3 linked regions of the Saccharomyces cerevisiae S288C genome follow. The gene in region 3 interacts genetically with the main gene of each other region. Each region holds a gene or a part of one and is shown on either strand. Other genes may lie near its edges. The genes, in order: PTC3, YAP7 and PLP2.

Evidence for each region.
Region 1: of PLP2 (region 3) and PTC3, extra expression of one rescues a mutant of the other (dosage rescue), as found in Saccharomyces cerevisiae (one study listed by BioGRID).
Region 2: of PLP2 (region 3) and YAP7, extra expression of one rescues a mutant of the other (dosage rescue), as found in Saccharomyces cerevisiae (one study listed by BioGRID).

The regions. Positions count from the first base shown.
Region 1 is NC_001134.8:112,026-115,804, reverse strand, and holds PTC3 (type 2C protein phosphatase PTC3), read right to left. Parts: upstream 2,044-3,779; coding exon 637-2,043; downstream 1-636. Other genes in the region: YBL055C (3'-5'-exodeoxyribonuclease), read left to right, coding at 1-232; PTH2 (aminoacyl-tRNA hydrolase), read left to right, coding at 2,378-3,004; protein phosphatase regulator SHP1, read right to left, coding at 3,097-3,779.
Region 2 is NC_001147.6:269,999-273,303, forward strand, and holds YAP7 (Yap7p), read right to left. Parts: upstream 1,373-3,305; coding exon 635-1,372; downstream 1-634. Other genes in the region: YOL029C (uncharacterized protein), read right to left, coding at 1-422; ribosome-binding protein MDM38, read right to left, coding at 2,005-3,305. UniProt on the Saccharomyces cerevisiae protein: Probable transcription activator linked to cell cycle that induces transcription activation of genes in the environmental stress response and metabolism control pathways, like the closely related YAP5.
Region 3 is NC_001147.6:845,625-849,056, forward strand, and holds PLP2 (Plp2p), read right to left. Parts: upstream 1,506-3,432; coding exon 645-1,505; downstream 1-644. Other genes in the region: FSH3 (putative serine hydrolase), read right to left, coding at 1-168; YOR283W (phosphoglycerate mutase), read left to right, coding at 1,829-2,521; HUA2 (Hua2p), read left to right, coding at 2,854-3,432. UniProt on the Saccharomyces cerevisiae protein: Essential for cell growth. Inhibits early G-protein signaling events following pheromone stimulation. Inhibits the folding activity of the chaperonin-containing T-complex (CCT) CCT2 which leads to inhibition of cytoskeletal actin folding.

The sequences.
Region 1 (3,779 bases), on a different chromosome or scaffold from region 3:
CTTAGCCAAATACCAGGAGGTTAGGGATTTCGAATACCCTGCATTCAAGTCCGTTAAGAAAAATAAGCTCGCTGACAAGTTGAATGCAGAAGAACTTTACATGGTCAAGGGCCGTAATGAGCCTTGTAATATGGAACAAGTAGCAATTGTCGTATCGGAAGTCAAGGACGTGGATCTGGCTACTTTGATAGATACCACGTGGAAGACGACCTGTAAGATATTTGGAGAGTAACATCTATTGGTGCAAAGAGCAAAGTTACATTATTTTTAGTAAGTACACTAATTATGCTTAAACTATTAATAGGAAAATTATGGTGCGCATATACATACAGTCGATATTGCTTTCATTTTTTTTTTTTTTTTTTTTCTATTTTTTTCATCAAAAAGGATTCAAAGGTTACCAACAAAATAAAAACAGAGTAAGGAAAAACAGATGTATCTATATGAATAGGATTTATAAATTCTGTTACAATTTATCATTCTCTCGTAATGATTTTTATGAATTTCACCATCTCCTCAATATGGGCCGCAAAGATGATCCAGTAAAAAACAATCCATCGGCAGAAGAGGAATAACAAATAAAGATAACAAAGTTTGACTACTCTTTCGTTGCAAAGTACGGTTCGACAATATTTATTATTCAATTTCTTCAATCTTGGAACCCTTCTTCGCATTTTCATTCTTGCCGTTTTCTTCGCCGTCGTTATCATCGTTATCATCAGCATCATTAGGTTCTGTTTCTCCTGCAGCCGCATTGCTTAAAGATGCCAACATATCTGATAAAGAAGCACCATGGAAATAAGAAGTGTTGCCGTCACTGTCGGAGCTGGGCCTCTGCCTTATTTGAATCCCGGCTTCTAATAGAGCCTCCAACGAAAACAAGTCAATAGGGCCAGTTCTATCCTCACCTGATAACTTTGAGGGAGTAGCACTGCTGCCTAATTCGGTATCAAGATCATCAATTTCCATGTCGTCATTATCTTTACTACGATTCAAGCGGTCTTGTAATTTTTTGGTGGTTATTGCGAACACTTCGTTATCATCATCCGAAAAATCATGGAAATCAAAAATACTTTTCCTTCTTTGGACAAAAGACGTTTGGATATTGTAATTTTTTGATCTCATACGCTCAAACCATTGTGACTCAGATTCATTTTCCTTTAGTAAAGCAACAATGGAAATACTCATATTATCACAGCCAATTCCTGAGCCTTCAGTTGTGGGTGAACAACAAACATCTACGATTCTAGATGAAATGTCGCTCAACGTCATATTACCTTGACTTATACCGTAGTGAACCAAGTCAACACACTCTTGAGAAGTTAAACAATCCCAAATACCATCACATGCTAAAATAACAAATTCATCCTCATCATAATTCAAATTGTGACAAATGATATCAGGAACACATGTAACGACTTGCTCATGAGGTCCCAATTTTGTGTTAGATTTGAATTCAAAATCACCTATGGCTCTTGATAACGCTAAATTTCCATTAACACGGTCCATCTCAACAAAACCATCAGCAGCTACAATACGAGATTTTTCACTTAACAATGTGGGCTTATGATCAAATGACATTGCTTTACTATTACCACCAGTAGATAGAACTGTTCTACTATCACCGGAATTGGCGCAAATTAGTAGCTTTTTCAATTGAGATACCAATATCACAGTTGCTGTACAACCACTATGGTCATCTTTTAATTTTTCATCTTTCAACAACTCAACATCTGTAGCTAAAAAGGTATCTATTAAGCACTGCTCTAACATACCGCTCTTGAAGCTCTCCTGTTTTTTCAGTATAGATATCATTTTAGAGCCACAAAACTCCGCTACAGAAGAACCACCATGACCGTCAAATATACCATAAAATGCGAGATGTTCCTCGTCAGACTCAGCCAAAAGGTTCGGCTCAACAATATGGGCATCTTCCATGGACATACGCCAGCCTTGCATGGCACATAGTCCAAACGCTGTCAAACAGTCCGTACCAGAATGATGCTCTTTGTCGATAATTGGATTGGACAATATTTGACCCATGTTATCTCTCTCTTTCTTCGATTTGTCTTCTTGGCCTTCTTCGTCTGCCTATAATAGAAACTTCAAAAAGTAAAATGAATATAGTCTAAAAACAGAAAGGGGCCTTCCGGTGGCAACAATCGAGCCAACAAGCTCTAAACACCTTTTACTCCTTTGAGTTTATTCTCTTGAGGGACAACCCATGTTGTTTTTTCTTCAACTCGCTGATATCACGCCTGACGAAAATAATGTTTAAAGGTTATTACTACTCTTCTAGAAGCTCTTAAGCATAAGAGCTAATTGTTTCTTGCTATATTACTTGTTGACAGCGGAGTAACATGATAACGTCTTTTTAATGGAAAAGATGACAGTTTCTTCGAATTACACCATAGCTTTATGGGCTACTTTCACCGCAATCTCCTTTGCCGTGGGTTACCAGTTGGGTACGTCGAACGCATCATCAACTAAGAAATCCTCAGCTACTTTACTGCGTTCTAAAGAAATGAAGGAAGGAAAGCTACACAATGACACTGATGAGGAGGAAAGTGAAAGCGAAGATGAGAGCGATGAGGACGAAGATATTGAGTCCACTTCATTGAATGATATACCTGGAGAAGTTAGGATGGCATTGGTGATTCGTCAAGATCTTGGCATGACAAAGGGCAAAATAGCGGCACAATGCTGTCACGCAGCATTGTCATGTTTTAGACATATTGCTACAAACCCCGCGCGTGCTTCATACAACCCAATTATGACACAAAGATGGCTAAATGCTGGACAGGCTAAAATAACGTTGAAATGTCCAGATAAGTTTACAATGGACGAGTTGTATGCGAAGGCTATATCACTTGGGGTGAATGCAGCAGTTATTCATGATGCTGGTAGAACACAGATTGCTGCGGGAAGTGCCACCGTATTGGGTTTAGGACCTGCTCCAAAAGCAGTATTGGATCAAATAACAGGTGATTTGAAATTGTATTGAGGTACAAATGATATATACTACGGGTATAGATATACGTGCATTTATATATTAAGTTGAAGTCTTTTCCCGTTTCTGTTTTTGTATATTTATGCTCATGCCCATCTTTGCACGACAACGGAGTTCAGCAGATCAGCGTCCTTCAATGTTGTCTCATCGTTGCTTATTGGTTTGATAGGAAAGGCATAATTCAAGGTGAAATTCCTCGATGGGTCAGTGTTCGCATTTGATGTCACATGCTCATACAAAAACTTTACTGTATCTGTGGAATTGCAGTGCAAAACTTCTCTTTTGCCATTTGCGTATCTAATTTGGATGGAGGTGTCGCCTTGTTTTGGCTCATTGTCCGGCATGGGTTGTTCCTGAGCAGCGGGTGTCTCATTCTTTGGAACCTCCGCAGGTGACGATTCACCCGGGATAGGAGATCCTAGTCTTTGGCCCTGGCCTGAAAAACCGCCCAGTTTTCTCGTCGGAGCTTTATAAGACTCATCTAATTTTTTATATACATTAACTTCAACTTCTTGTCCAAATTGCACATCTAAGAGCTTTAATGGAGCCCTCCCTTGATTTAACTCGCTCAAATAGAAACTGTTCGCAGGATCATCATAGCGATAAAGCGGACCATCGGCCACTTGAAAACCTTCCTTCCAAAATGTAATTTCTCTTGTGACTTTTTCTGGTCTACGTTGTGATTGTGAAGTGTTGTCTTCTACGACTTCATCTGCTGCGTCGATGGTTGACCCTAATCTAAAACCTCTTCCAGTAAACCTATTGGCAC
Region 2 (3,305 bases), 580 kb from region 3:
TGATATGTGTAACTGATCGGCAGATACCTCTTTGCATCGGAAGCCGCATTCATTTGTGCATTCTTGCAGGAACATATTTCGGGTAGCTTGATTGAATTGTAATTTACGTCAGTTTGTTGTTCATTTAGATCCGGTGACAACGCACTGTTGGAAGAGAAAGAGCTTGAACTACATTTATTCGAAAGTGATTGACAAAAATTCCTACTATGGGGGTCTGATCTACATTGCTTGCAGCTTCCAGGTATCCATGACCCATCCTCTTTAGTGATCGGTCTATTCTCGCTATCGTAGATTTCTTTGTCTCCACAGCATTTCGATATTGATTTCTTAGCATCGGATTCTATTTTCTTTTCTGAACAGCAAACGGGGACTAAGGATGGCATTATGTTATTCTTTTGGTTGCAACATGTTACTGGTTTCATGGCATCTTTATTCCTACAACATTTTATTTTTTTGTTGCCACTGCCTGCACATGCATTGATACTGCTGCTGCATGAAGACAGAGGTGAATTAATATGGCCATCAAGCGATGAATTCGTTGAACTAAACTGTCTGCCGCTCAGATATTGATAATCGTTGGCTATATCAATCTCAGACAAAGACTGGTCTGTTAATACCGCGGGCACATGAGATGTTAACAATGGGCCTTCAGCTTTCCTTTTTTTAAACTGACAGCGCCGATTGGTTTAAAGTTTTCTACCATTTCTAATATCGAAATAGGATTGTCTGGCGGGTTTTCTGGCTGCTGTTGAAATGGAGTATTAACAATCAAAGGCAAGGCTTTTTGCAATTCGTTGTTTAATGCTATTGATTTTTGCAAGTTTTCCTTTGTATCGGAAAACTCAGATTCCAGCAGTTTATATTTCCTTTGCCAATCATCGACCAAATTGTGTAGCATCTCAACCTTCTCTTCCAGAACCTGGATTCTTGTTGTTCTGCGTTCCCTATATGCTCTTTGCGCATCTCTATTTTGCCTCCTTCGCTTTTCCACGCTATCGACACCGTTTTCATCACCACTTCCGTTGCCTTCATCATCAGATTTCCCCTCATGACCTTTTGCGCCTTCGTTCTCATGATCTTTTGTGGTCATTTGGTCTTTCTGGTTGGAAGTTTGAACCTTCTTTATCTTGGACGATCCATCATTATTAGCTGATGCATCCCCGCGCTTGGATTTCGGTTTGCGGCCCGGTTTTAGGCGCTGTGGTAACTCCCAATTCTTGGATAACTTAATAGCTGACGGTCCTGATGTACTCACATTTCCATCTGGTGAGGATGGAGGTGGAGACGTCGTAGACATGGAACCCTGTTTATGCCCCAATTTGAAGCCTTTGGGCTTTACGCTAACTGCTACTACAGACCTTCGTTGTCTCATGATCCATTGAAAGTGTGCGTAAATGACAAAATTTTGTGCCTTTCTATATTCTTTAATTGATGATTTACTTCCTTGATAACGGCTCAACAAACGAAGAGCAATTTTCAAATTTCAAAAGAAAAAACCGTTGAAACTGTTCTTGAGCAACTTTCAAGCCTCTTATGATGATGTGCTACAGATTGAAGTACAGGTGAAAAGAGGAATAACCAATAGCCTTGTTTGCTTTCTACGGTGGGGCAGCGGATTTTCTCTTTTATGCTTATGCTTCTTCTTCCATATATTACTAATTTTTCTCGAGCGAGCAGCTTTACTGCGTGCATTACCGATGAAAAAAATCGCCGATATATGAAAATCCAGCTCATAAGATGCTGATTAAGGAGTCATGAGTGAAAGGACCCTCGTGGCCATCACAAAAAAGACACTTTGCTCCTGTATAAAAAAAAAAATAAGGCGGTAGTTTAGATAGGGTGTCTATTATATACATGCATAATAATTTAGTTTTGAAGGGTCGCTGGTTTTGCCGTGACGTACGCTTCTCTTTGATCTTTTGCCATTGTTGTCAGAGAAAAGAGAACCGATTGACTTTTTTTTTTTAGTTTTTTTTAGTTTTTTTCTTAGGCTTTGATCTAATATCAATCTTTCTTAATGACAAAAGTCTTCGCAGCTTGATCGGCCGGAATGGGAGGTACAGATTTTGCTTCTTCCTCTTCATCTAGGTTGATATCATCTGGCACATGCTCTCTCGAAGCTCTTTGCTTAGCTTCCTCTTCCTCCTTCTTTATTAGTTCTTCTTGCTCCTTCAAAACGTTCAATTTGAACTCGTTATCGTCGGATGTCTTCTTTTCTTCAGCTTCCGTGGCTTCCGCAGAGTCGGTAGGCTCTGCGTTCTCTTTTTCCTGAGATATTTCCTCTGTCTTCGCTGTTTCTGCCTTTTCATTAACTACGACTAGTTTAGGAGTAACCGCAGAAGCGGTGGTAGCTATAACAGACTCTTTTGCGGTGGCTTCTTCCTTCGGTATAGCAGTTTCCTCGGGTTTTTCTTCCGTCTTTATCTTCTTTTCAGCAACTTGCTTTTCAGCTTCAGTTTCAGCAGCGGATGATTTCGATTCAGATACATCTAGTTTTGCGACGTTGTAAACGGGATCTGGAATGGAACTTAGCACTTGTAATATACCGTCGTAGTACAGATCCAAAAGGTCGTCATATTTGCTTTTTGTTTCTTTTTTTTCAGCTAGTGGCGAGAATGCCTTTGAATAGTTCTCCTTTGGAAGTCCTCCAAACGTGAACGTGGAACTCAAAACCATCAAGACGGATGGGATTTTTTGTCTCAGTCTCAATTCTAGCCAAACTTTTAGATTATCGACCAAGTCCTCCTTGGATACACCGTACGCTTTCATACCACGAGACACACAAGCTTGATACAGCTCTTCTTGCGATAAACTTTCAACGCCTTCGTAGTCAATAGTTTTATCGTCGTTCATTATATCCTTTAGTTTGGAACGAATTTGGTAACGAAGCATGTTATCGTTACCAAATGGCCTTAGTGACATAAACTTCGACATTGCTGCCAATTGTGGTCTTGACAAGTTATCCAAAACGCTATCGTTTTTGAACATTTGCGCAATGGCGCTTATTTCATCGTGTTGGAAAGTCATAATCTTACCTTCCTTGGCAGAATAAAGCTTCCGGAAAAAATTCAAAAATTTTTGCTTCTTCTCTGCATTTTCAATGGTGTTGTAAGTGATCAAATTGGATTCTTCCAAAGTCTCATGCAAGAATTCGGATGTCTTTTTTCTGATCTCGATGAGCTTATTTCTCTTGGCTTGCTTATCCTTGCCGGATTCGTAAGTGGAGGGTAGTAAGTTGGGGAAGAGTTTCAAAGCGAAAGGCAAAAATAGTTCGGCGAATGGAATAATAAGGAACGCTGAAAAAG
Region 3 (3,432 bases):
CTCTGATTGGAATAACGCTTTTTTATCAATTGAATGTGGGGCGCAAGGATAGTATAAATCGTAACCTAACTTCTTCAAATTCTTTCGTAATCCTCCAGTCTTCGCAGAAAATATCTTATCGGATTGGACAAAACCATGTAGCATTAGAACTTTCTTCTTTTCACTCATAATAATAATTCTGGGGTTTGTGGTAGAATTCAGTTTGAAAATGCACCGAAGTAGAACAGATTACTTTCTGTATTACTGCATCCATAGTGTTCTTTATACGCACAACTAGAAAAAGTAAATTTCTATCCTCTGACAACAAAGCGAAAAAGTAGTAAAACTTGATACCAGACCATGCTCCATATGACGATTTAAAAGGTTTATTCTGTCAAGATGTGCCTGCTCGAACTTAATAAGGGGTTTTATTGTATCTGTATCCTAAGTATGCTTGACGGTAATTAAAGAGCTTTAATTGGTTGCCATGACAACGGCTCTTACTAAAATCCATGCTGCAGCGATGTTCAATCATACATACCGTAATCCTCGCGTAAACATTCAGAGAAGTACATGACAAAGTTTGCTGTTCTTTATATCTGTATATATTAAATAATGGGGATAGTGACACCACTTAGCCTGTAAATAAGGAATATTCGCACTATTTAGTCAAAAAATCCATCATCATCATCATTAATGTTGCCATCATCATTTCCACCTATGCCGACATTAAATTTTCCTCTAATACCTGACCTGATCGATTTTTTTTCACCGTAATGCAATTTTCTCTCTTCCCTGGATTCTTCATCGTCTCGGTTCATTATCAGTCTGTTGTCTCCTTCTGCAACAGCGCCAACTTTTACCATAAAATCTTCAAAGTCTTCCATCTTGGAATTATTACCACCCAGTTCTAGTAGCGTTATCATGTTTTTGATTACCTCACCCCGGTAATATACAATTAATGTCGGGCAATTGGATTCGGGATAGTTTTCAATTGCTCTATTGGCAGGTATTTCTACAAATTTTATTTCTCTGAATTTGCATGCAGCAGATTGGAAAAGATGAGACAGAATTCTGCTTTGTAGTTTACTTTGAAGCGAGAGATGAACGAATACGTAGACACCACCGTCATCCTCTTCACCATTGTCATTGGTTTGTGCACCTTCATATTTCTTTCCCTGACTGGCCAAAGTAACCTCTTTGTTGTATTCAGGTTTGTTAATGTGGAAAACTTCTCCAAATTTGGAACGTTCCTGTAATTTGCGGATTTCATTTAATCTTTTGATCTTGTAAGCTTCCAAGAAATCTTCATCTTCATCGTCTTCTAGTTCTTCCAAATCCGACAAGTCTTTATCTTCTAGTCTATTTTCATGCTGCTTGGCAATTGCTTCTTCTAATGCTTCTTCTAACTTTGCAGTGGGCGAAGGTGCACGTTCTGGTATTACACCCTTCGCTCTTAAAATATCGTTCCATTCACTGTCTTCAGATTCGTCCACCTGGACCTGAAACATTGGTTCATTCTGCATTATGTCTGCTGAATATGCCTTTCTTCTCAGTGATGTTTACTCGAAGGCGTTATCTTGTACTGCAGATTTCTTCAGGTCGATCATATAACCTTTTCTTTTTTTCCTCTAGCGGGATTTCCTCTTTTTTCAGTAATTTTTTTTCCAGCGATATTAATACAATGGGAAAATCAGGTCGTCACAATATTACTTAATTCTTTTTTGAATTGTAGAACATAAAGTATTGCTTTATTCATTCTGGTTCGAATTAGTCTCATACTGTAAGATCAAAGCGGCAACGAAGCTCGAAGCTATACAAGCACCCAAAAATATATTTATACCCAAGAATGACTAAGGAAGTACCATATTATTGCGATAATGACGATAACAACATCATCAGATTATTCATTATTAGGCATGGACAAACAGAACACAATGTAAAAAAAATTTTGCAAGGTCACAAAGATACCTCGATCAATCCTACGGGAGAAGAACAAGCCACTAAATTGGGGCATTACTTGCGTTCAAGAGGTATTCATTTTGATAAGGTTGTCAGTAGTGATTTAAAAAGGTGTAGGCAAACTACGGCTTTAGTTTTGAAACATTCAAAACAAGAAAATGTGCCTACTTCCTATACTTCGGGGTTAAGGGAGCGTTATATGGGTGTTATTGAAGGTATGCAGATTACTGAGGCTGAAAAGTATGCTGATAAACATGGTGAAGGCTCCTTTAGAAATTTTGGGGAAAAAAGTGACGATTTTGTTGCTAGGTTAACTGGATGTGTCGAAGAAGAAGTTGCTGAAGCATCTAATGAAGGTGTCAAGAATCTAGCCCTAGTTAGTCATGGAGGTGCTATCAGAATGATTTTACAATGGTTAAAGTATGAAAATCATCAAGCTCATAAGATCATTGTTTTCAACACCTCTGTCACTATAGTTGATTACGTCAAGGACTCCAAGCAGTTTATTGTGAGACGTGTCGGAAACACCCAACATCTTGGTGATGGCGAATTTGTCGTCAGTGACTTAAGATTACGTTAGACACTATATGGTTATTCACTGTTGGGTTTTTCTCATTTTGTATTAGAAATGCGGTTTAGGTAGTAATAGAAATTTCGCATGCGTGTATTTTATTTTAAAACATATAGTTCGTAAGGGTTTATCTAAATGCAGTAGATGTTCATAAATTATAGGGGTTTTATGTTTTTATATTATTGATATAGTTTTTCACATGAGATGAGAACGACGCGTTTATTTTAAAGGAAAGAAAACTGTGTCGTAATATGTAACAAGACTACATTGATACTCCATAGCAGAGAAATGGATATGTTCTGTCGGTGGTAAATTCAGGTGAATTGTATATCAGTGAAACTATGCAACAAACAAAATTTGGCAAGATGTATTTGGACCACGATTCGGTAGTTGAGTACTCAGAAGATGAAATTGTCGAAGCCGATCGTATTACATTGGGCTATAAAAAGAGATTGTCAATGATTGAAAATCAAATGCGACATCTTTTGGAGGATTTTAGTTTGGACGTTCAGCAGATTGAACCCATTCTTGCCGACTTGCAGAAGTACTACGACGCGTTTCTACAACTTTTACAGAAAAGGAACAAATCATTACAATGTAAGAGGTCCACTCACCAGCCGGTCCCATCCCCAATGAATAGCCAGACATCAACAAATGCAAAGGTTAATTTGAGCGGAAAGCTTATGAAGTTTCAGCTAAATAGTGTACAAAAGTTCGACGAAGAAAATATACTAAGGATTCTGCAAAATAAAATAGAATTCGAACATTATTTCCAAATTGATAAAGGTAAGAAGCAAAAGGTGCTATTACTTGCCGTATATCAATGCCTCAATGGGCCAACACGTTTGCATAAAGTGCTTAATATTGAGGGAATTATACATAATAATAGTATCAGAACTATACTGGGCAAACAAGTGTCC